3 linked regions of the Notamacropus eugenii genome follow. Each later gene encodes a partner of the first gene's protein in a complex. Links are inferred from orthologs where the notes say so. Each region holds a gene or a part of one and is shown in the gene's direction. Other genes may lie near its edges. The genes, in order: ACTR2, ARPC5L and ARPC3.

What was found.
Region 2: the proteins of ACTR2 (region 1) and ARPC5L are in contact, whole or in part, in a cryo-EM structure (PDB 6YW6), measured with the Homo sapiens proteins. The link is inferred for Notamacropus eugenii from reciprocal best matches to the Homo sapiens genes ACTR2 and ARPC5L. Residues at the interface, in NP_005713.1 of Homo sapiens: Tyr225, Glu263, Phe266, Gln267, Arg319, Lys322, Gln323, Ser338; in NP_112240.1 of Homo sapiens: Arg11, Arg12, Val13, Asp14, Ile15, Asp16, Glu20.
Region 3: ACTR2 (region 1) and ARPC3 share a complex: the UniProt entries of both Homo sapiens proteins name them as parts of the arp2/3 complex. The link is inferred for Notamacropus eugenii from reciprocal best matches to the Homo sapiens genes ACTR2 and ARPC3.

Annotation. Positions count from the first base shown.
Region 1 is NC_092872.1:639,069,592-639,076,600, reverse strand, and holds the start of ACTR2 (actin-related protein 2), read left to right. Parts: upstream 1-3,971; 5' UTR 3,972-4,327; intron 4,328-5,051; exon of another isoform or gene 5,052-5,074; 5' UTR 5,075-5,091; coding exon 5,092-5,172; intron 5,173-7,009. UniProt on the Homo sapiens protein: ATP-binding component of the Arp2/3 complex, a multiprotein complex that mediates actin polymerization upon stimulation by nucleation-promoting factor (NPF).
Region 2 is NC_092872.1:447,139,724-447,147,113, forward strand, and holds the start of ARPC5L (actin-related protein 2/3 complex subunit 5-like protein), read left to right. Parts: upstream 1-4,370; 5' UTR 4,371-4,566; coding exon 4,567-4,730; intron 4,731-5,058; exon of another isoform or gene 5,059-5,161; intron 5,162-7,390. Other genes in the region: RPL35 (large ribosomal subunit protein uL29), read right to left, coding at 1,201-1,260. UniProt on the Homo sapiens protein: May function as component of the Arp2/3 complex which is involved in regulation of actin polymerization and together with an activating nucleation-promoting factor (NPF) mediates the formation of branched actin networks.
Region 3 is NC_092875.1:35,943,955-35,951,852, forward strand, and holds the start of ARPC3 (actin-related protein 2/3 complex subunit 3), read left to right. Parts: upstream 1-4,892; 5' UTR 4,893-5,204; coding exon 5,205-5,210; intron 5,211-7,735; coding exon 7,736-7,835; intron 7,836-7,898. Other genes in the region: GPN3 (GPN-loop GTPase 3), read left to right, coding at 981-1,043. UniProt on the Homo sapiens protein: Component of the Arp2/3 complex, a multiprotein complex that mediates actin polymerization upon stimulation by nucleation-promoting factor (NPF).

The DNA of each region.
Region 1 (7,009 bases):
CCCCGCCGCCCCCGCCGCCCCTCTTCCTGTCAGCCCCCCACCCCCACGCCGCGCCTCTCATCCCCGCGGACGGGGGATGGGGGGATAGTCTCCTGCTCGCCCCCTCCCTGAGTGCCTTGGAGGAGCTGCCGAGGACAACGGGGGTGGCTGATGAAAGATAGACCCGCTCCATCTCGAGCAGCTTGTGGTTTTATAAAACAAGAGTGGTCGGGCCTTCCTCTTCCTGTAAACTCGAAGGTAGAGCCTCGGAGGCAGGAAGCGAGGGGCTAAAAAAGGAAGCAGGGCTGGCAGCCTCCGTCTGCAAGCCGCGTCTCGGAGGGGCTCCCGGGAGGGGGTCTGGGGGAGGCGCCCACCGTGGACGTCCAGTCGGAGGAGCCTGGGCGGGCGAGCCCCGGGGGCCGAGGGCTGCCCAGGTGTGGTGGTGACCTTGGGAGAAGTTACCAAGCCCCTCCCGTTCCTCTTTTTCTCCTACTGCGAGTTCCCCATGGGTATGATCTTAAATGAGATCCCCGAACGCCGGGAGTTGTAAAAACGGTTGGTTATTCCCCCTCCCTTTCTTCCCCCAGGCTCCTTTTGGGAGAGGGGAAGAAAGGTCTGCCTTTTTTTAAAATTTTTTATCAGAAAGCAAAATCAGAACAAATCTCAAGATTGAAACATGATTTCTTTGGAATGTGTTCTCCAGGAATGATTTTATGTTACATTTGTTTTTATGTTACGTTTTTATGGTACATTTGTTCTCAACTCTTCTTGAGGTTGCCACAGCATACCGATGTACAGATGCTTTTTTAGTGATCCTGCCTACACTTCTCTCTCCCAGCAGGGTCTAGTATGTGAATTAAAATTAAAAATAATTATTTTGGTAAACTCTTCTAGAATTATACTGTGGAAAACATAATGAACTTGAAATAAACATAAGTAAACCTTTTGTAAATTAAGAAATTGAAGCCCAGAGCAGTTGTGACTTGCACAAGGTAACACCTCATGTTAGTGGCATCACTGTGACTAGAACCCAGCTTGGTAATTTATTACTTACTGTACTACACAGGTTTGCCTCTTATAATGGTGTGGGCTGTTGGAAAAAAAAAATGGTTGGGAATCCCTGTTGCTTTGATGCCATAGCCTTTTAAAGGGATTATTAAATATAAAATGTACTGGAAAAAATACACTGATTTCTTAGGACACTTTCATTTTGATTTTTGTCAAAGGAGAAGATTGAAATATAGGATTATCTCTGATTTATTTCCACTATACTCACAGTAATGTTCAGAAAGCAATTTTGTGCATGTATTTAGAGATCTATATAGGGTTAGTGATAGTAGATGAGAGTTCATTCGCTTAGAGAACTTCTAAATGAGGAAATTCCCTCTGCAGACAATGCAAATTGACACCTTCTCTGTAACTGTGTGTGTGTGTATATATATTGTTAGTGTCTGCAAATATGAATACATTAATTAGTTTAAAATGAAGAAAGAACCAGCATTAGTAATGAAGTAATATTGATAGCATCATAATACATTCATGGATACTTTGGCATTTCTATAAGCTTTTGATATAGACATATATATATATACAGTCTAGTAAATCAATCACACCCTGTCTTTTATGTTGATTTTATTCTAGAACAACATTTCATATGCATTTAAATATTTGCAAGGCCATAGTATGCATGTAGCATTTTCATTTGTTCTTTGTTCGTTCAAAGTTTTTTTAGCGATGGTTTATGCCAAAGTTTGGTGATTTTTTACTACTTATTGGCCAGGCCTTTTGCCTTCAGATTCTTCTGTTTGCAAATAATAATGTGCTGAGTTTTACCAAGGCCCAGAAGATCACAGAGCCTTTTAAATCATTTAGTTCAGTTTTAACTATTCACATAGAGAAACCTAAAGAATGCCTCCATCCCAGACTGCTATGCAGTTTGATAGGCAACCTGTAGCTTCTATTTGTTGAACAATAACAAATTGTTCAACAATTTTTTGAAGCAAAGAAAATAAGCAACAGAGCAAGAATCCACGTTAACCTGTATGAGTTGACTGGACACTTAAAAGATGCTTTAAAAAAAAGTTAAGTGATCGTTTAATACAGTTATGAGCTGTGCTGAAAATAAAACAAGAAGAATAATGGGCTAGACTGTGTTTGTTAAATAGCACAATTATTTTAGTGACAGTTCCCCTCCAAGCTTCTTCCTATAACAAAAGCTCTTATTTTTTTTTTAACACCAGTAGTCTTATTGTGATGTTACATAGTCACATATAATCATACTCTGTGGTTTATGGAATTAGATGGAGGATAAACCAAAAGGTACATGGTAGGCAGGGGTAGCATACAGTATGTTCCAAACCAGAAATGGCTCAGGAAAGGCCTTGTGATAAAGATGTAATCAGAAATACATGATCAGGAAAACCAAAAAAGGTAAGCCAGTCAAGAACAAAGAGTAATGGATAGCCTGCACTTCCTTGATATCCACTGATGCCTGGAAAATGAGAAGTAGGTCCCCAAATCATTAGATAGACCCTTTGTGGCCAATTTATGGGAGAAAATGAGAGTGCATGGATGATTTCTAGTGTTCATCATTAGGAGGGATGAAATCCTAACTCCATTGAAATATAAAATTATCAGAATATTGGTCAGGCTTAAAAATGCCCAAGCATTTCACAGTTACAAGGCAGGATGAAGGTGCAGTATTTACTTCTTCATTTCTAATATTTCCACTCCGTATAACATTCAGGGTAAGGCAAAGAGAAAGGAAGCTAATACTTCTCAGTTAGGCTTCTGGTGGCGTTTGAAGGGCCCGTAGTAAAGAAGTCCTGAGTTCAGATGTGGTCTCAGACACTAACTGTACCATCCTGAGCAAGTCATTTAATATCTGTTAGCCTCAGTTTCTTCAGCTATAAAGTGGGTATTAAAAACAGCACCTTCCTTGCAGGGATGTTGTGAGGCTCAAATGAGATAATGTTAATAAAACACTTAGCACAGTGCCTAGCATGTAGGAGGAGCACATATCAATGCTTATTCCTCTCCCTCTTCTCCAAAATGTCCTAGCCCTTAAACTCCTCCAGTATTTGGCATAACTGCTCTCTAAAGTGGCATCACAAGGATTGGCAGTGAATCTGTACCCTAAAGTAACTCCAATCTGGAGATCAGGAAGGCTTTACACAAAGCTGAGAGGGATAGTTAGTACATTTTGATTGCATCCAAAAAGATCTCAACAGGTTAGTACACTGGGAAGAATCTAATTAGATAAAATCTGGTAGAGGCAAAGTCTTAGATTTGAGTTCTTTAGAAACCTACTTCCAAAGCACAGGATGGGAGAGGGAAAGTTAGCAGGGTTTTTTTTGTTAGTTTTTGAAAAAATAATCTGGGGAATTTAGTGGAATGCAAACTCAGTATGAGGCAGGAGAGTGATGTAGCTGCTCAAAATACTTAATATACTTTGGGACTGGATTAAAGTTTTAAAATTTATTTTGAACTTAAATACAAAATAATAGAAGAAAAAAATTGCCATATACATAGCAGAACACGAGAGGATTCAATATAAAGCAATGAATTCCCATTTCAAGAAAAACAATATAAGTACAACACATTTTCAAAGCCGTCCATCTTTTCTTTGCTTTTGTATAGATTTTCTTTTATCCTCTGCTGTGCACTTTTTACTTTATTTTTCCCTTTCCCCTCCCCAAGAAGGCTGCAATTAAGTGCAGATATATTTTTTATATATAACATAAATATACATACACATATATATACATATACATAAACATACATATATACACATATACATTCAAATGTGTGTATGTAAGACCGTATTATACGTGTTTCCATTTGTCATCTTTTTCTCTGAAGATGGATAGCATCTTCCTTCATAAGTCCAAGTCTCTATATTTTTCCAGATCCACCAGCTCATCATTCCCTACATCACAAAAATATTATGACTCAATCATATTCTATCTGAGAGATTGTGAGAGTTTTTCCCTCAATTTTCTGCATTCACTCTATTCTTGGCTACATAGGTTTTGAGTCTCTTTCAATTGAGGATTGGTTGGTGGATTTGGGAATGGATAGCTTGACGCAGAGAACACTTGGAAGGGAGAGAATAGTTGTCTCTCCAAGTATTTGAAGGGCCTTCTTGTGGAAGAGAAACAGAACTTGTTTGTTTGGCCCTAGGGTGCAGAACTAAAGCAGTGTTTGAAAATTGCAAAGAGACAAATTGAGATTTGATGTTTGGAAAATTTTCCTAAGAATTAGAACTGAACAAAAAATTGAATGGGCTGCCTTAAGAGAATCATTGGAGGTCTTCAAATAGAGGCTGGATCACCACTTTTCTTTTCAAGTATGTTATAGTGGGGTTGGACCATATGACCACCAAAATCACTTCCAGCTTTAATACTATGTGATTCATTCAAGAATCAATCCTTACGTAGCAGGGACAACTTGGTGGTGCTGTAGATAAGAAGCCAGTCCGTAAGACTCATTTTCTTGAGTTCAGATCTGGCCTTAGACACTTACTGTGGGCAAAGCTCTTAACCCTGCTTGCCTCAGTTTTCTCATCTATAAAATGAGTTGGAGAAAGAAATAGCAAACTATTCCAGTATCTTTGCCAAGAAAACCTCCAAAAATTGAATTTATGAAGTCAGTCAGACACAACTGAAACGACTCAACAACAATGTAGTTGAACCCTGAACTTTGCTGGCTACCGGTTACCACCCTATGAATTTTAGTAGTTTATAGAAGTTCTGCACTAGTGTATGAATTTTCTGTTATTTAACTGTGGGTAGGATTTTTTAGGGACTCTGCTGATTTTATGGAGATACTGAGGTTGTTTGAAATAAAACCATCATCTGGTTAAGAAAGAATAACTTTGAGGTGAAAGTCAATAACTCTTCAGTCTTTAGTTTTCTGGGACAAATAGGATTGCAGGATGGTGTTCTAATAATTATCTGATTAAAATAATGAAAAAGGACTAGTTTCTGATAAAATCAGTGGAAGAAAAAAGACAAGTAAAAGCAAGGTTTAAATTTGCTCATAAAATGTTTTTTCAAGCTAATGTAGCTAATACTCTTTAATTTTTGCCTGAAAGACTGTGACAGACTGTGAATGTTCTTACCATTTGATGACTCAGTGGGAAGTAAGAGAGTCAGTTTCAACCACAATGCTATGAAGAGGAAACTATATATGGTAAAACTTATTTCTTAAACACAGCCTTCTTGCACACACCAGGGGAAATTAGTAGCTAAGTTTTTAAATGATGAGAGGTTGTAAGCGTATGCCATGTCACATTTTGCCTTTTAAGGATTAAAGTGACAAAATATGGTTTGAACAAGGCTTATTTCCTTCATTTTACAAATTAATAATTGTGGTTTCTACATATTTTCTGAAAATTGTGATTTTGGTGCAGGAAGAATAAATGTTTTTTTTTCTTTTGAAATTCCTTAATATATATTTCTTTTAAAAAACTCATTTAATTTTAATACATAATAATGTACTTTAATACATAGTAATACATAATATATAATACATGAATATATATTATACATATATTATGTATAATACATGTATTATGTATAATACATAAATAAATGTACCTTAATTTTGTTTTTATAAATGAAATGAATATGTTCATGTTTTTAAAATGTTAAATTTACAGTATACTCAAGTGCACACATAGACGAACATGAAAACTACCATGTATATTTGGGAGCTGACATGTACGTTAAAGTTAGCATATGTACTTGTGAGCTTAAACTCATATGCAAGAGCTAACACAAGTCATTATGTACAGTACATTAATTTTGCCACTTGTATTTAGCGGTAAACAGACTTAATCAGCTCTTGTGAATACCAAAATCAAATTTTCTAAAATCCCCTTTCTTACATCAGAAAAAATTATCCTGTCAGATTCTTTATGGTTTCATGTAGGGGAGCTGTTCCTTGCTTCTGGGAGTGGGGAGGCAGGGAGAAGGTGGTGGTGGCTACCTATTTATCAGTTCCCTTTTAAGAGTCTTTTGCTCTAATACCTCCTAAGAGTTTGTAGATGATTTTAGGCTCTCAGTTCAGTTCAATAAACATTTATTAAGCAACTTTGTTACCTGGCTGAGTGCTAAGCCGTGGAGATACAAATAAGAAAAAGAAAGTCTCTTCCCTTGAGGAGCTCACAATTTAAGAGGGGAGAAAGAGGAGAAGACCACACTCAAAAGGAAACTGGAAAGCAAGGGGGAGTGGTATATGGAAGTCCAGGAGCCTGATATTATATGGAGTGGAAGGGGACAGCTGATGGAAAGAGAATTACCTGGGCTATATTTTTATGGTAGAGATTTTTTTTTAAACTATGTACCTGTTAAAATAGTTTTGAAGTAGTTTTAAAATTTAAAGTGAAAGATGTGTGCTATAGTATAGTTTATCGAATGATTTTGAGCATCCCAAAGAAACCTGTGTAGAAATGTTAGTCATTGTTTGATAAATACATTTGCTACATAATAATTTAACACTTAAGTGTTCATTATTTTGCATTTGAGTGTTATATTATAACAGTTTTTTCTTTGAACAGGTAGAAATTCAGATAACTTCAGAAATACAATCTAAATTGTTTCCACTTTCAGTACTGTCTCTTATCTTTAAACTTGGAAACTTTGAAAATGTCTTTTGCAGCTTTCCAAGTAGTTAAGTTTTTTTTTCAAGTTTGCAATCTTTTTATTGCATTAAATATTGTGCTTTTTTTATTAATAATTTCTTTTCAGTTTTCAACAGTCATTTTTATAAGTTTTAAATTTTTCTTCCTCTCCCTCCCTCTTCCCTTCACGCAATTGTAGGTGGATTCTACACATACATTCTTATTAAACACATTTTCACATTGGTCATGATGCATAGAAGAATTAAAATGAATGGGAGAAACCATGAGAAAAAGCAAGAAAACCCATAATGAAATAGAAAATATTCTGCTTCATTCTGCATTGCAACTCTATAGTTCTTTCTCTGGATGTGGATGGCATTTTGCATCAAGAGTCCTTTGGAAATG
Region 2 (7,390 bases), about 190 Mb from region 1:
CCCTCCACTGCCATTTTACAGATGAAGCCCAGACATCCTAATTTGTCACGTAAGCTAATTAGCGCCGGAATCTCTCCTAACTCCGAGTTCGCGGCTCCGCCAAAATGAGGACACAGCCAGGATTAGGAAGTTAATGGAAAGGGTTAACGGGCACAACCCCGGGGAACGTGGATTCTGGCTCCGCAGCCTGGCCTTGCCGGGCCTCCCCAGGGCCCCCGGGGCCTCGGCCTGAAGAGAGCCCCGAGCGCCGCGCGGCCCCGCCGCTCCCTCTTCCCTCCCCGCCACCCTCCCCAAGGCCGGAAGGACCCGCGCTGAGGCCGAAGCGCCCGGATGCCGCAGCCGGAGGCTCGTCAGGGGTGAACAGCGCCCCGGTCCGCGGCTCCGGAGCCTCCACCTCCCGCCATCGGAGCCCGGGCAGAAGGCCCCCGGGTGCGACGCGGAGCGGAGGGCTCCGGAGCCCGAGGATGGCAGCGGATTCCCCGCGCAGAGCTCACCATGATTTCAGCTCAGACGCACAGCCACCAGCTTGAAGGAGAAAGAGGGAAGGGGAGGAGCCGACCCTGAGAACTACTACCGGGTCAGGGCGCGACCAAGTAAACGGGAGGAAGGGTGAGATGTACGGAGAATGGTACAGCCCGCCCAGAAAGCGAGTTGGGGAAGGGAAGGAAGGGAGAGGAGGAGGAGGCAGACAGTGGGGAGGGAACAGGCCCCACAAGGCACACCCACCCATGGTTAAAGCCGAGGATGCTCTAGAGCTTCTTCCGCCCTCCTGGATTCCTCCCCCATCGAATTTCTCTGAACACCTTGGACCTCACCTTTAGAACACAATATAGGGCCTCAGTTTTTTCCTTCTGTAAAATCAATCAATCCTACCTTTCCAGTATTCTTTACACATTTCTGACCTGTACATAACCTAGCTGTCCTGTCTTACTGATCTACTTGTTCTGTGGGCAACACAGGATTATTCAGCGCCAGTCTCCCTGCCTTTGCACTTGCTGTGCCCATGCCTGGAATTCATTGCCTTCACAGATCCTCCCGACAACCCCCTTTCAAAATCCCTTATTTCCTTTAAGATTCAGCTCAATCCTACTTTTTATATCAAATCATTCCTGATCTCACTAGTTTATAAGGTACTTTCACCAATAATGACCTTGTATTCATTTTACATTTAAAGATATGTAGATATGTATATACACTTACATATGCACATGCTGTCTCCTCCATTAGAAAGTAGCTCCTTGAGGGTAGGCACTGTTTCATTTTTGTCTGTATTTCCAGAGCTTAGCACAGTGCCTGAAATACAGTGGGTGCTTAATAAGTTCTTGCTGACTGATCCATTCTGGGGACAATCACACACTGCCTCCCTCACCAATGTGTCTCACAAGAAATAAAGGAATAACAGCATCAGATTTAAAACTGGAAGGAACCTTAGAAACAGTCTAGTCTAATAATCTTTGTACAGATGTGGAAACTGAAGCCCAAGGAAGTTAAAGGGTCAAGATCACACAAATGGCAAGAAAACCAGCATTCCAGGATCTGAACTAGATCATATATGTGGAATCAGGGAATATTAAAATATATAATGTTAAGACATATAATAGGATAGAGATGTAAGAACACAGAATGTTAGAGCTGAGAAGAGCCTTTAAGAGTTAAAGGGCCTTCAGAGATCCTTGAAGACTTATCCCCTCATTTCAAAGAGGTTCAGAAAACAATAATATCATTCAAAATCCACTTTCTTGACATCTGTACCTAAAAGTTTCAAGCCAGCAGAAGAGCTGAGGATAAAATCCAGGCCCTTTGAATCTCAGTTCAATGTTCCATTCATTCCATTTATAATGCCTCCTTGTAACTATAAAGTGCTAAAATAATAAAGGGCATCATTATGAATTATTATTATACATCAGTGTTTGATATAGCAATATTTCTCATAACTACATTTATTTTAGTGGTAGAAGGAATCTGGACCAGAGTTCAAGAAACTGGAAGGATCTTGGTTTTTAGTTTTCCCTCCCAATCCTATTCTTTAGGGATGTAGGAAAGATAAGGCAGTCTTTTTGGAACTCTCTAGCTGTGTTCTCTGACCACAACCCTGGGGTATCTGGAACCTGAATTGGAATGCTGGCTTTACTACTTCCTCCCTATGTGATCTTGGGCAAATCACTTCCTTCTCCGAGCCCTAAAAATGAAGGGATTGGATTTAAAGTGTCTAAATTCCTTACTAGGATTGATTCTCTGATGTCACTTCATTCTTGGAAATTGTTTGGTTACATCTAGCTCACACACAGAACCTGTCAGCAATTAACATCTCTAATATATAGTTCCAGTTGATGCTAAGCAACAGAGGCAGGGGCAGGGGCTGTTTCTGTATCTGGTACAGCACCCAGCAGGCTGTGGGCGCTTCATGAATGTCAAGTGACAATAATAACTGCTCCTTCTCCCACTGAGGATGTCAATCCCTAGCTCCGAGATGTGGATTGCTTTCCAAAGTGCCTTTTGGAGATAGGGAATGGAAAATGAGTACCATGTAACACATCTCTATAGCATTTTAAGATCCACAAAATGCTTTCCTCATAAAACTATGACACAGGTAGATCAAGGCAGAGAATTTGCCACCCATTCAGCCCAAAGGTTTCCCAGGACATAAAAGAACAGAAATTGGTGCCTCTGGGTCAGACCAGGTGAAGATTGTTGGGCCTTCACATAGTTCTCCACTGTCACTCAGGTAATCTTGCACTTCTCCTAATGCCCTTTCTTGTTTTACTTTCTTTGTGCCTCTCATATCCTGTAATACTACTGGATAATCATGACCTGGATTTCATTTTTGTCTTTTGGCAGGTTGAGTTTTAAAGCCTGGGAGACTGTATGGACTCCTGGAAAAGATACTAAAGGGAAGTAGGAAACAGATTCTAAGCTGGATCTTAGTCAGAAGGACACTGGATTTGGAGTCCAAGGACCAGGTTTCAATCCTTGCTTTTTCAGATTAGTGACTTTTGGCAAAACATTTTCATGCACTGGGCTTCAGTTTCTTAGTCTTCATTATAATGGGGTTTTGACTAGGTCATCTCTAAGGTCCCATCCCCTTCTAAATCCTATGTGGCTCTGAGCAGGTCACTTCCCTTCTTTGGGAATGTCTGTCCCTCTGTAAGCTTCATTCAATAAACATTTCTTGGACAGCTCCTCTACTTATTGAGATCTGTGATTCATCAGTAGTAAAGGCAAGGCAAAGATGAGTGATAGTCCTGGCTCTCCAACAGCTGTAATTAAATGATCAAAAAAGAGAATATTTGTAAAGCACTTAGCAGTCAGGTTCTCCTAGGAACCTCACCATTCTGCAAAATCACATTATCAGCCTTGGTACCGACCTCATCAGTACCCTCTGCCTCTGGGACCCCTCTGATTAAAGGGGAAAGCTGTTCTCCATGCCTAGAATTCTCTCCCTAATTCCACTTCCTTACTTCTCCTTCCTTAAAGTTCCTTAGATTGTAAGCTCCTTGAGGGCAAGATTGTATTCTGCCTCTTTTTTATGCCTAGCATTTAGCACAATTTAGTACATAATGGGTGCTTAATAAATATTTAGTGATTGACTGAAATAATATATTGATTAACTACAAGAAGCCTTTCCCACTCTTCCCTCCTACTAGGGCCTTCCCTTTTTTTCTTTTTAGATTAAAGGGGTCATCCCTTGACAAAGAGGCCTATTCACTGAATGGGTATTAATTCACTCAAAGTGAGAACCTGAAAAGTCTTCGCCTAAAAGAGCCAGGGTCTCCCACTACATCCTGGGCCATCTCCAGTGAGGCTGGTGACCTGGCACAGCCCTCCCTCACTCAAAACCAGGTCAAGGGCAAGTCATGTCGTCATCTCCCTGACGTCATGGTCCTCTCTGAGAAGGAAGGCCGAACACAGGCCTTTCCTCTGGGGCTGTCTCCCCCTCCTCTCTTCGTAGCTGTCCGGCCAGTCTCCTGGGCAGACTGAGATCCGGGAGAGCAGGGGCCTTTTCTCCGCCTCCCTGACCAGTGCCCGCTGACTCCCTGGGCCAGCAGGGCACAATCACTCACAAATTCTCAGACGGCGAGGTCTGGGAGGGGCCTCAGGGACGCTCCAGCTGCCCTTTCTAGATTCGGGCAGAAGAAGACGGTTAGTCCTCAGCCCTTCTTACTTCCCTGGGCTGTTGCTGATGGGGTAAATCCTGACACACTCGCAGTAGGGCATCGGTTTGGAACGATTATTTACCACCACGCCCCTCCCCCGCCCCGCAGCCGCCAGCCGGCAGAAGCGGCCCGGGGTCAGCCTCGCCGGCGCAAAGCAGCCTCCTTGCCTCCCCAAGCCCAGCCCCGCCCCCTCGCTGACCGACATCCGCTTCCGGCCCTGGCCGGAAGTGGGTGTGCGTCGCGGCGCGGCGCGCGGCGCGGCGGAGTCGTCTCCGGAGCGTTGCCGGGGCCGTTGCCGGGCTCCGAGCGCTGTCCCTGCGGGGTCTTCTCGCTCGCGCTCTCGCGGTCTCTCGCTGTCTCCTCTCTCTCTCTCTCCCCCGGCCTTGCGCGGGAGGCGGAGGCGGCCGCCGCCATGGCTCGGAACACGCTGTCCTCGCGCTTCCGCAAGGTGGACATCGACGAGTTCGACGAGAACAAGTTCGTGGACGAGCAGGAGGAAGCGGCGGCGGCCACGGCGGCGGAGCCGGGCCCCGACTCGGACCCGGACCCCGGGGAGGTGGACAGCCTCCTGCGGCAATATCCTTCCGCCCCCCGCGCGGGCTCCGGGGAGGGAGAGGAGGAGGGGGCGCAGGCAGGGAGAGACCCAGAGGAGGGGGGGAGGGGTCGGGGAGGGGAGCGTGGCGAGGTGGCGAGCGCCGGTCACCCCCGCTCACCCCCAGAGCCTTCCAGGGCCGCCCCGCGATTCCGGACACCCTTCTCCGCCCGGCTGCATCCCACCGGTCCGGCGGTTCGGAGATTCCTCTCTCCCCATCCTAGTTCTGTGCTGCAGGTTTAGCTTTTCCGGTACATTGTAGAACCCGCTCAAGGTAGGAAACATTTATCGAGGGTCCCCCCCCCCACGCACCTCAGGGGGTCAGCACCTTGTTTTCCCCTCTGGTGATTTGCACCTCCATCCCTGCTTTGTGTAAAGAGATTGGCAGCCTCCGGGAACTTGCCCCCGAAGCCCTGGGACTCTGGCTTCTCCAAGTGTTCTGATTTCCCCATCCCACCGGCCTGGGACTGAATACAGGTGTGAGGGCCGGAGGGATGGGCCAAGTTGGGAAAAATGTGGAGTGGTTGGTTTTACCTGTTCAGAAATGGAAGGGGTGGGTGTCTTTAACTGCATGGGACCCCACCCTACGGAGTGGAGATGTAGGGGGGGAAATGGGGCAGGAAATGGGGCCCTTCTCCTCAGCCGGTCTGGGGAGTGCCCAAGGTGATCCAGTGCTGAGTAATGGATGGGGTCAGAGCAGTTCCAGATACAGATCTGCATTCATTAACCGTGCTTCATACCCTCATGCTGTGACAGGGATCGAGCCTTGTTAAAAATAGGTGTGCGGTGGGGGAGGGGAAGTGAGGGAAGCAGTTTTAGAATACAAGAAGGCCCCGTGGATTTTTTACCCCTGCCTGGGAATAGAAAGGAAAGCTGGAAGGGCTAGTGCTGGTTCCCACTGTCTGAAATTGTGACTTTCTTCTTTATTTCCCCAGAAGTACTTTTTTTTCTCCTGCCTAGAATGTTTGGCTTCTAAAAATAGCCTCATCTCATTCTCTGTTAGTATATTTTTGCTATTTCAACAGCTTTTAGTGTTCCTTGTTTGGCATATCTTTTCTCCATATTGTTTCCCTTTGAGGTTGGAAGCAGTTTTAGAGATTTTAAAAAGTGAGACAGCTTCTCATAAAGGCCAAAAATAGGCTCCCTAAACTCTGGAAGTGGTCTTATTTCTGGCTATGGAAGCAAAATCTTTATAAGCAGGAAGGTTATCAAGTGGCGCTTAGCTGTTCATGACTTCAGAAAGAAGAATATACTTCATTTTATTGATGGCTATAGTCAGCTATGTCTCTCTGGTACAACTTCTAATAAAGAAGTTTGACACATAATGTGCAGCTTTTATTTACCCAAAGATCCTTTAATTGGTTGACTCAGTCTCAGAAAATAAGGACTACTCCAGGGAGCAGTCTCAAGTGGAGGAAATTTAACAGCTCCGTTGAACAGCTCCCTGTTTTATGTCTGAGGTTTACAACAACCCTGTGAGGACAATAATGCAAACATTATCACTTTGGTCTGACTGTACTTTTTCTTTTTTTGATCTGATCATACTTTTCTCTCCTTAAAGCTGACTTGTTAAAAAAAAAATCATAACTATGGCTTGCAGTTGGTGTTTTTTTAATGCATCTCTATGCATCACAGGGCCTGTGATTTCACTGCTGTAGGGAATTCTCAGAAAACTCACTCTTTGCATGGCTACATCATCTCTGCAACTTAGTGTCTTAGAAAGTTGCCTAGAGCACTGAGAGGGCCAAGAGTTGCCCAGGATCACAGAGCCCTTGTGAGTCAGAGGTCTTGGCTTTAAGGTCAGTTCCCTGTCTATTATGCCTTGCTATTTCTAATTTTAATTGCATACTTTTCTTTTGTAAAAAAAAATTTGAGGTGTTAGTAGAAAGAACTCTGTACTTGAAGTCAAAAGACCTGGGTTTGAATTCAGTTTCTGCTTCTTATTGTCTTTGTGACCTTGGAAAAGCAACTTAGCCTCTTTGGGTCTCAAATTTCTGTAAAATATGGCTAATACTATAGTCAGTGGAATGTAGCCTGCATTCTTCAAATGAAACAATGGATCATAGGAAGTCACAGGATTTTGAAGAGACTTGACATCTAGTCTTAAGGTTCTCAAACCTTTTGATCTCAGACACCCTTATTACTCTTATAAATTATTGAGGATCTCAAAGAGCTTTTGTTGCTGTGGGATTTAGTTATTAATATTTTTGTTGTTCAGTTATTTTCAGTCATATGACCCTTTGTGACCCCTTTTGAGGTTTTCCACTTTTCTGGAGTCTTTCCTTTTCCTACATTTCCTTCTCCAGCTCATTTTACTGATGAGGAAACTGAGTCAAACAAGGTTAAGTGATTTGCCCAGGGTCACAAAGCTAATAAGTATCTGAGGCCACATTTGAACTCAAGGAAAATGAGTCTTCCTGACTCAAGGCCTGGCACTCCAACCACTCTGCCACCTAGTTGCCCTGCTATTAATATTTACCACATTCAGAATTAAAACTGATAATTTAAAAAAAATGTTTATTAACTCATTACACATTAACATAAATTTTTTTCTGGAAAATAACTTTTCCAAAAGGAAAAAATATAGTGAGAAGAATTTTACATATTTTTCCAAATTTCTTTAATGTGTGGCTTAATAGAAAAC
Region 3 (7,898 bases), on another chromosome or scaffold:
TTTTCAGTCTTCTTTTCAATATGTTGATTTTGATTTATTTTGCTGAAATTTCTTACTCATTATTTAAAAAAAATTCTTTGTTATAAGATGTGGTCCTCCAGGAATGGGGGAAGGGATGTAGGGGGAAATATAGGCAATAATTGAAAACAAAAAACATCAATAAAATCTGTTTTAAAAAAGAAAAAGGTGGGGGAGAGGGGAATTTAGAACTCAAAATCTTATAAAAGTGAATGTTGAAAATCTTAATTTTAAAAACTGGAGATCTGGATTAAATAATTTAAAAAAAAAAGGTGGTTGATGGAACTCTATGCACGGAGGAGGCTTACCAACCACAACATTCCTAGTGGCGGGTGGACAGTGTTAAATGACCTTGAAGGTAAGTGGACAGACCAGTCCCTGAAGGTAGCAGGTGCCCGGGCTTGGGTCATGCGTGTATATTCTTTAAGCTTCTTCTGCTGACTCCCTCATTTTAGCTCCGACTTAATGGGTCAGAGAGCCGTTTCACTTGTTAGTGCTTATGATATCCCACCTGGCTAGGACAAGTGTTCTCAAAGCTCTACTTCCTCAAATAGGAAAAGGAGATGAACAAAATTGTGATGAGGAAATTACCTTTAACTTCCTCCTATCCTGCTCCTGTTTATGTAAATCACGAGCAGACTAGCTGGAGAAGACTAAAAAGGCCTTTGTCTCCTGTCTGTCTCTCTGGCCTCTCTTGCGTCTACGCTGGAATCCCATACCTAGTAGACTTTTCCAGGTGATTTGGCACTTCTAGGATCTGTGCGTGGGCCCTCTCTACAAGGAACTATGTCTGTCTCAATAGCTGGTCTTTGTCAGTTGCTTTGGCTCCAAAACACTGAATATTTGCCAGATATTAGCTGATTATTAATCGTTACCTGAAATGTCCACCTACAAGTGCCACTGTTGGCACGTTTAAGACATTTAAGAAAAAGTAATTAAACTTTCTCTTTCTTTGTTGAAAGGAATCTGAAGAAGAAAAATCATCCATGTTGGATGATTATTTTCAAGACCGTGGGGATGAATGAAGATATTTAATTTTTCCAGTGTTTATTAAAGCATGAAGAACTTTGTGGGCAGAATCTTATAAAGACTCATGTTTAGCCTCAGGGAGAAGTGGATGGAGAATTCATCTTTCCAAAGCAGAAAGAGTATGGCTAATCCACAATCTGAACATTGCCACTTCTCCTTTCCCCCAGCCTGGCCAAAGAAAAAGAATAGTTTGGAAAATCTCCATTGGCAAATGTTTCCAAATGAAGTCCCAAGTTCTCTAGGGTGTATAGTACTTGTTAAGGGAAGACAAATTCTGGGCTACAGACAAACCCTTGGTGCTGCTGTTTGTTACTTCCATTTTGGGGGAAGGATAGTTTGCATTGTGGTGTACAAGTGGCACAGAGGGAGATATCAGCTTGACTTCAAGAAAGAAAGACTTCCTGACAGCTCGAGCTAACCCCAGATGGCATAGGGCTCCTTGGGAGGTGGCAGTCTGCAGGGCTTCCCCCAAAGGCAGGTCATGAGTGTGATAGAGAGGATTTTTTTTACTGGTTCAGGTTGGGCCAGATGGCCTGAGGGTTCTCCTCCCTCAGAGATTCTTTCCTGTGGTTTCGTTATTGGAAAAATGATTCTGTTCCCCTCTCTCAGAATGGACTGCTTAGAAATTACTTTTATAATAAAAAATAAAATGTTATGTCTGAATTGTCCGTAGCCCTTTCATATTCCAAATTATATTTGGAAGTCCCTCCGCCCTGCCTTTTTGGGCCAGACTTAAGTACCCTGTGCCATTTTCAAATTGACAACTGTGTGTAACTTAACCATGTTAATGAATTTCCTTAGAGGTTAAATGGCTTTCCCAGGGTCACACAGCCACCAAGTGACAGAGGCAGTGTTGGAAGCCAGGTCTTTCTGACTTCTCTGCCCCATGTCATGCTACCTCATCCAAATTCCTACCAAGGGCAGTTTTTGGTATTAGGGATGAACTTGACACACACAAAAGCTATCAAGAAAAATTTATTAAAAACGGAATTCAGAGGAGGGAAGACCTTCTGCGTGCCTTCCCCCGAAGGAAAGGGTAGCTTCCAGCATGGCCGCTGGAAGGACGACGACCAGGTCAGAATGAGGCAGGACACTTATAGAATTCTGAACTTAGTGAAGAAAGTTGAAATGTAGTGATTCCAAAACAATGAAGAATCATCGTCTTGAGGTGGGCCAAGTAAAACATGGCGGACATTGCAGAACATCTAAAAAACTATTTTGATTTTGCTGTTTCATCTCTTTTTTAGACTTCCTTAATCTGGCCAGGCTATCAACTACTCTGGGTCAGGTGTTGTGCTATCCAAGTAAAAACCAGTCCCTGCCCTCAGGGAGCTCACTGGCCAAAGGCTGGCATTCAGGCATGCTGCCCCTTGTAACTTTGTAAGTGGCAGGTCATGTGAAGGAACCTGAAAAATGGATCATTTTGCCCAAGGTCTCTCAGATCTGAGGCCCAAACCCAGGTTCTCTGGCTACAAATCCCATATTCTGTGGCACACTTGCTGCCCCCTGAATTCATAGGCTGGAAATGCAAAGCCTCTCCTAAAATTCCTGCTGAGCCTTTTTCCTGACCTAAGCGTAATGTCTATTAGGCTCATGGTGATAATTGATTTTTGAGTTGCAAGGTGCCTTCAGGGGTCATATAGAGGGCACCTTACCTCATCCACCCATTTTACTATGAGGAGACAAGCCCAGAATGATGGAGTGAATTCAAAGAATTGAATTTCACAATTGGAGAGGACCTTAGTGGCCAATCAACCTTGTCCCAGGTCACATCAGTTGTGCTGGGATCATAAAATTAGAGCCCAGAGGGATATTCATGGCCATGACTTGCCCCGGATTTCACATTTTGGGCAGTATTTGTGTACCTCCCAGAGATCTTTGGGGAGCAGATAGCAATATCTGGAGTCTTCAGTAACATCCTAAGGAGAAAAAATAGATGGTCTGCAGCTTTCTTCTGTGCCCAAGTTACAAGGCAGGGGAGACTGTAGATATTTAAGGACGAGACTATTTTTTCCCTTTTTAAATGCTCTTGTTGCTTAAATGAACACCCACTAGGTAGCCAAATTTAATTTGCATGTTGTTATTCAGTTGTTTCAACTGTGTCTGGTTCGTCATGACCCCATTTGGGGTTTTCTTGGCAAAGATACTGGAGTTGTTTGCCATTTCCTGCTCCAGTTGAGTTTACAGATGAAGAAACTGAGGCTAAATGACTTGCCCAGGGTTACACAGCTAGTAAGTGTCTGAAGCTAAATTTTGAACTCAGGGCTTCCTGGCTCCAGGTCTGGTGCTCTTTCCACTGCTTCATATCCTTATATAATAATATCCTACGTATTTTGTGTCATTCAGATTTTAGGTTTTCTCAGTACCCAAGATAGCATGTTACCTAAATATTTTATCTAACACATTTCAATGATCTATAGTCTCATCAGTCCAGTGACTGGGGCAGTTGTTGGGGCAAAAAGAAAAACCCAGAACACCTAGCTGCCAAGCCAGTGGTGAGTCTCTTGATAACCCTTGAAAATGTACTTAGAGACCATTCCCAGGACCATAATCAAAACCACCCCAGCTTGACAAGGACCTACCAGAGCTTGAGGTCCCCTGGCATAACCTTGAGAGGGTCTTTAGAGGTCACCAAGTCCATTTTCCAGATGAGGAATTGAGTCCAAAGGAGGTAAAATGAATTGCAGAAGGTCACAAAGCTAGTAAGTGAGGTAGCTCTCAAACCCAATTTGGCTTCCCACTAGACTAGGCTGAGACATCAGAGGAGGGTCTTGGGATGATTTCCTCAGGATGTAATCAATGAGGCTTTGATTTTTTTCTTTAAGTCACAAGTCCTAGATTTTTTTCTTCTTATCTGGAATTTTGTTGATGTCAAACTAGTAAAAAAAAAAAAATACAATCCTCTTTGACTTTATCCCAAGGTAATATAATGACCAGTCTATGTCTGGGAGTGTCATGAACCCCTTTGGCAGTATAATGAAACATATAGACACCTCAGAATAATGATTTTAAATAATAGAACATACAATAATACTGAAATATGGTTTTCATAATATTACATAAGTTCACAAACCCCAGGTTAATAACCCCCTGGTCTATTGCATTAAAAGGTTACAGATTTTGACAATTTAGTTTAAATTGCATATTAAACATATTTTTGTTGTGTGTGAATATGAAGTGTTTTGGTTTTTTTCCCTGCTGTCAAGATGCATTGTGCATTTTAAAATAAGCTGAAAAATGCACACCTAGGTTCTGGCTCTTGTGAGTTGAGGACAATTATTAGGATAGTGATTTGGGGGTGAGGCACCCCCACCTCCAAAAATCATGATGAACTGTGGGATGAGATGGGTGGGCCCCTCCCTCCTCATCTGATTTTCCCAATCCTTTCATTTCTTCCATGGCTCTTCCCTCATCCAGCCACATAGAAGCACACTCTTTCCACCCATTTTCCTATGGCCTTTTATCTTGACCTCTTTTCTGCTTCCCAAGACCCCCAAGTGCAGTTTTTAGACTTTTATTCTTTTAAAATATATGTAACTTCTCATTATAAAAATGTTCATATATTGTATTTCTTTATACTCCAGCTGCACTAAGAAATGAAGCCCCAAATACTAAGAAACTTGTGTTCTCCAGCGATGATTTTCTTCAAATAAGAAAATAAAACGCGCATTTTACAGATGAAAAAACTGAGGCCCAGAGGGGTTGGCTAACTGACTTTTGCCCGGGGTCACCCATTCCCTAAGAGGCAGGATTCGAACCCACACCTTCGTTTTCCCCAAGGCCAGCACCACGTGGGGCCAATTTCTTTAAAACAGGGGATGCTTGTGCTCGCCCCGCCCCGCCCCGCCCCGCCCCGCCCCGCCCCGCCCACGGCGTTGTGGTGCGCAGCCTCAGAAGCCACTGCAAGGAGCTCCAAGCCCTGGGCGGGGGGGCCTTCGCGCATGCGCACGGGCAGGCGAGCTCGGCGCCGCAGCTCTAGTTCTTTGGCTCCCTCTAGTGTTCCCGGCGGCCACACCGGAAGCGCGACCTCCTCCCGCCTCTGTCTCTTCCGGATCGCTTCCGGTTAGACCCCACCCGGCCGCTAGACCGGAAGTATCGGGGTCTCTGACAGGAACCAGAATCTTCTGCTCGCCCGAAGCCCAGGCCCGGCCGCCAAGATGCCGGTGAGGCGCGGGGAGAGGCTGAGGCCTTAGAGGGCCCCGGGGGCGGGAGCGACCCCGAGGAGTGCGAGGGGGCCGGCGGAGGAGGCCAGGGTGGGGGTCCGGCCTTGGGGGAGGGAGGCCGGTCTGGTGTGCGGGGGAGGACCTGGCAGCAAAGACCTCTGCGAGGTGGGGAAACTGAGGCACGGGAGCCCCCGAGGCCTTCCTCGTAGGGTAGCCGGCCTGGAGTTGGGGCGAGGAGATCGCCGCCCGGAGCTACCAGGAAACGGAGGCCTCGGAGGGGAGAGCGCGGTGGGTGTGGGATGGAGGCCTGGAACCCCAGCAGCCCCGCCCTTTTATTTGACAGGCGGGGACACTGAGGCCCGGCGAGGGCGGAGGGCCTCATTGGTGGGGGCTTGGAGACCCCCCAGTGCGGCCGCCTCCCTTGGTGGTCACGGTCACAGGTGGATCCTTGAGCCCGGCTCCCTGCTCTGATGGGTGGGAAAACAGGGCTACGAACATTAAAGACCCTTCTGTCCTTTGGGATTAATTGTCTAACTGACTTGGGGCTGGAGCCCAAAGAACGTATATGAACATATATAAAGAACAGGTCCTTCGTGGGACACAGGGAAACTGAGGCACGGGGGAGAGAGCAGCTCCTGGTGGTGATGGAGAGTCAGGGCCAGATGGAGGGATTCTCCCCCCAACCCCTTCCTTTGACAGTTAAAGGTGCTGAGAGGTGCGAGGGTGGCTGCCTCCTCCTGCAGCCAAACCTGGGAGTCCTCGAGTCCACCTTTCTTATTTGACAGATGAGGAAACTGAGGTGCACAGAGCGGGAACTTGGACCTTAGCCGGTCCAGCTTGGCCAGTATAAGGGGGCTGGGGCTGGAGAGGCAAAAGAACTGCCTCTCCTTAATAGAAACACAGAAGAGATTTGGCCAGCCCTCCTGGGGTCAGATGTTTTCATTTCACATAGAAGCGAAGTAACTTCCCCAAAGCCTCACAGAGAGTCGGATGTGAATCAGGAACTTGGACCCAGGCCCTCTGAGAGCAGCTCCAGTGTGCCGTGGGCCCCCCAGCCCCCCTACCTCATACTCTCCCTTCTCGGCTTCTGTATGCCTTTCCTTTTCTTTCCCAGCTCCAGACTCTGGCTGGATGGCGAAGCTCCTCTCAGTGTCTTCTCTCCCTCTTTTTGTCAGATTTCCTCTCGGGCTCCTTCGCTTACCGCACCTACAGCCTCCTTGTCACTCACAGTGGCTGTGAGAGGCCTGTTCCTGAATGACATCTCCTCTTTTTGTAGTGAGTCCAGATTTCCAAAGCTCTTTCCTCCAAGGACTCCAGCACTAGGATTTATAGAGGCAGATTGTACACTTGCATTATAGACTTGCATTAGATGATTAATAGAATCTCCATCACCTCTAAATCCTAATGTCCCTATTTTACAAATGATGTTCAGAGACTCCCAGTGTTGGACTTCAGTGGCTCCCTCTGTAATCCTCCCTCCAGGGCTTTTGAGCTCTGTGATCATTAGAGTCTTTTCCAGCCCTAATAATCTTTGATCCTGTGAAGATGTTTTAACCAGGAAGTATCAGCAACTCTTTCTCTTGGGTGGGTTGTCTTTTTTTCTTCAGTAAGATGCATCATTGACCTGCATACAAAATGTCTAGACCTTTGTGTGAAGAAGATCTGGGGGTTTTATTATCAGTCACCAGGGTGATATAACAGCCCAAAAAACAAATTCTCTTTTAGGCTCTACGGGTAATAAGTAAGTCACAGTGGCTGTGACCCAAGAGAGTCTAGGTCAGCTGAGCTCTGCCCTGCACATTGAGAGCATGGTGTCTATAGTTTAGGAACAACACTGACAAGCTGGAGAGCACCCAGAATAGGGTGACGTGGGTGCCCAGGGAACCTTGTCCTTCAAGGATCAGGGGGAGGAACTGCTAGTGTTCAGCCTGGAGAAGAGCAGGAGGAGGAGGGCTGGTTTCCTTATATGTCTGAGGGACCCTCATGTAGAAGGTCTGAGATTTATTCTGTTTGGCCAAAGAGGTGGAAGTACTGAAGAGGCAGACTTTTTGTCAAGAAAATTTTTCCAACAATTAAAACTCTCCACAGGTTGAGTGGTTCCTTTCAATGGAGAGAGCTGGTGGTGCCACAGTGCCCAGAGTTCAAGGTCTAGAATCAGGAAGACCCAAATTCAAATCCTTCCTCAGACACTTTTGAACTGTGTGACTCTGGGCAAGTCACTTAACCTTTTTCTGCCTCAGTATCCCTAACAGATGAAGAAAATAATAGCACCGATCTCCCAGGATTGTTATGAGGGTCAAAGGAGATATTTGTAAAGCACTTAGCACCTTGACTGGCACACAGTAGGTGGTATATAAATGCTTGTTCCCTTCACCCCACTAGAGGTCACCATCAAAGGCTAGATGATGGAGTGCTAGACATATTTACTTGATGACTTCTGAGTCTCCTTCTCAGGATGAGATTCTATGATTCTATGGTGTTTATCTCCCTGCCCCTTTTGTATTCTTACATGACTGAAATTGCAGGCATACCACTCCTCTCTCATGGATCCCGACACCAAACTCATTGGAAACATGGCACTTTTACCCATTAGGAGTCAATTTAAAGGACCAGCTCCAAGAGAAAGTAAGTCTATATTCTTTTTCTTTCATTTTGTAAAAAGTGGTTTTGTGGAGTGAGGTATCAAGG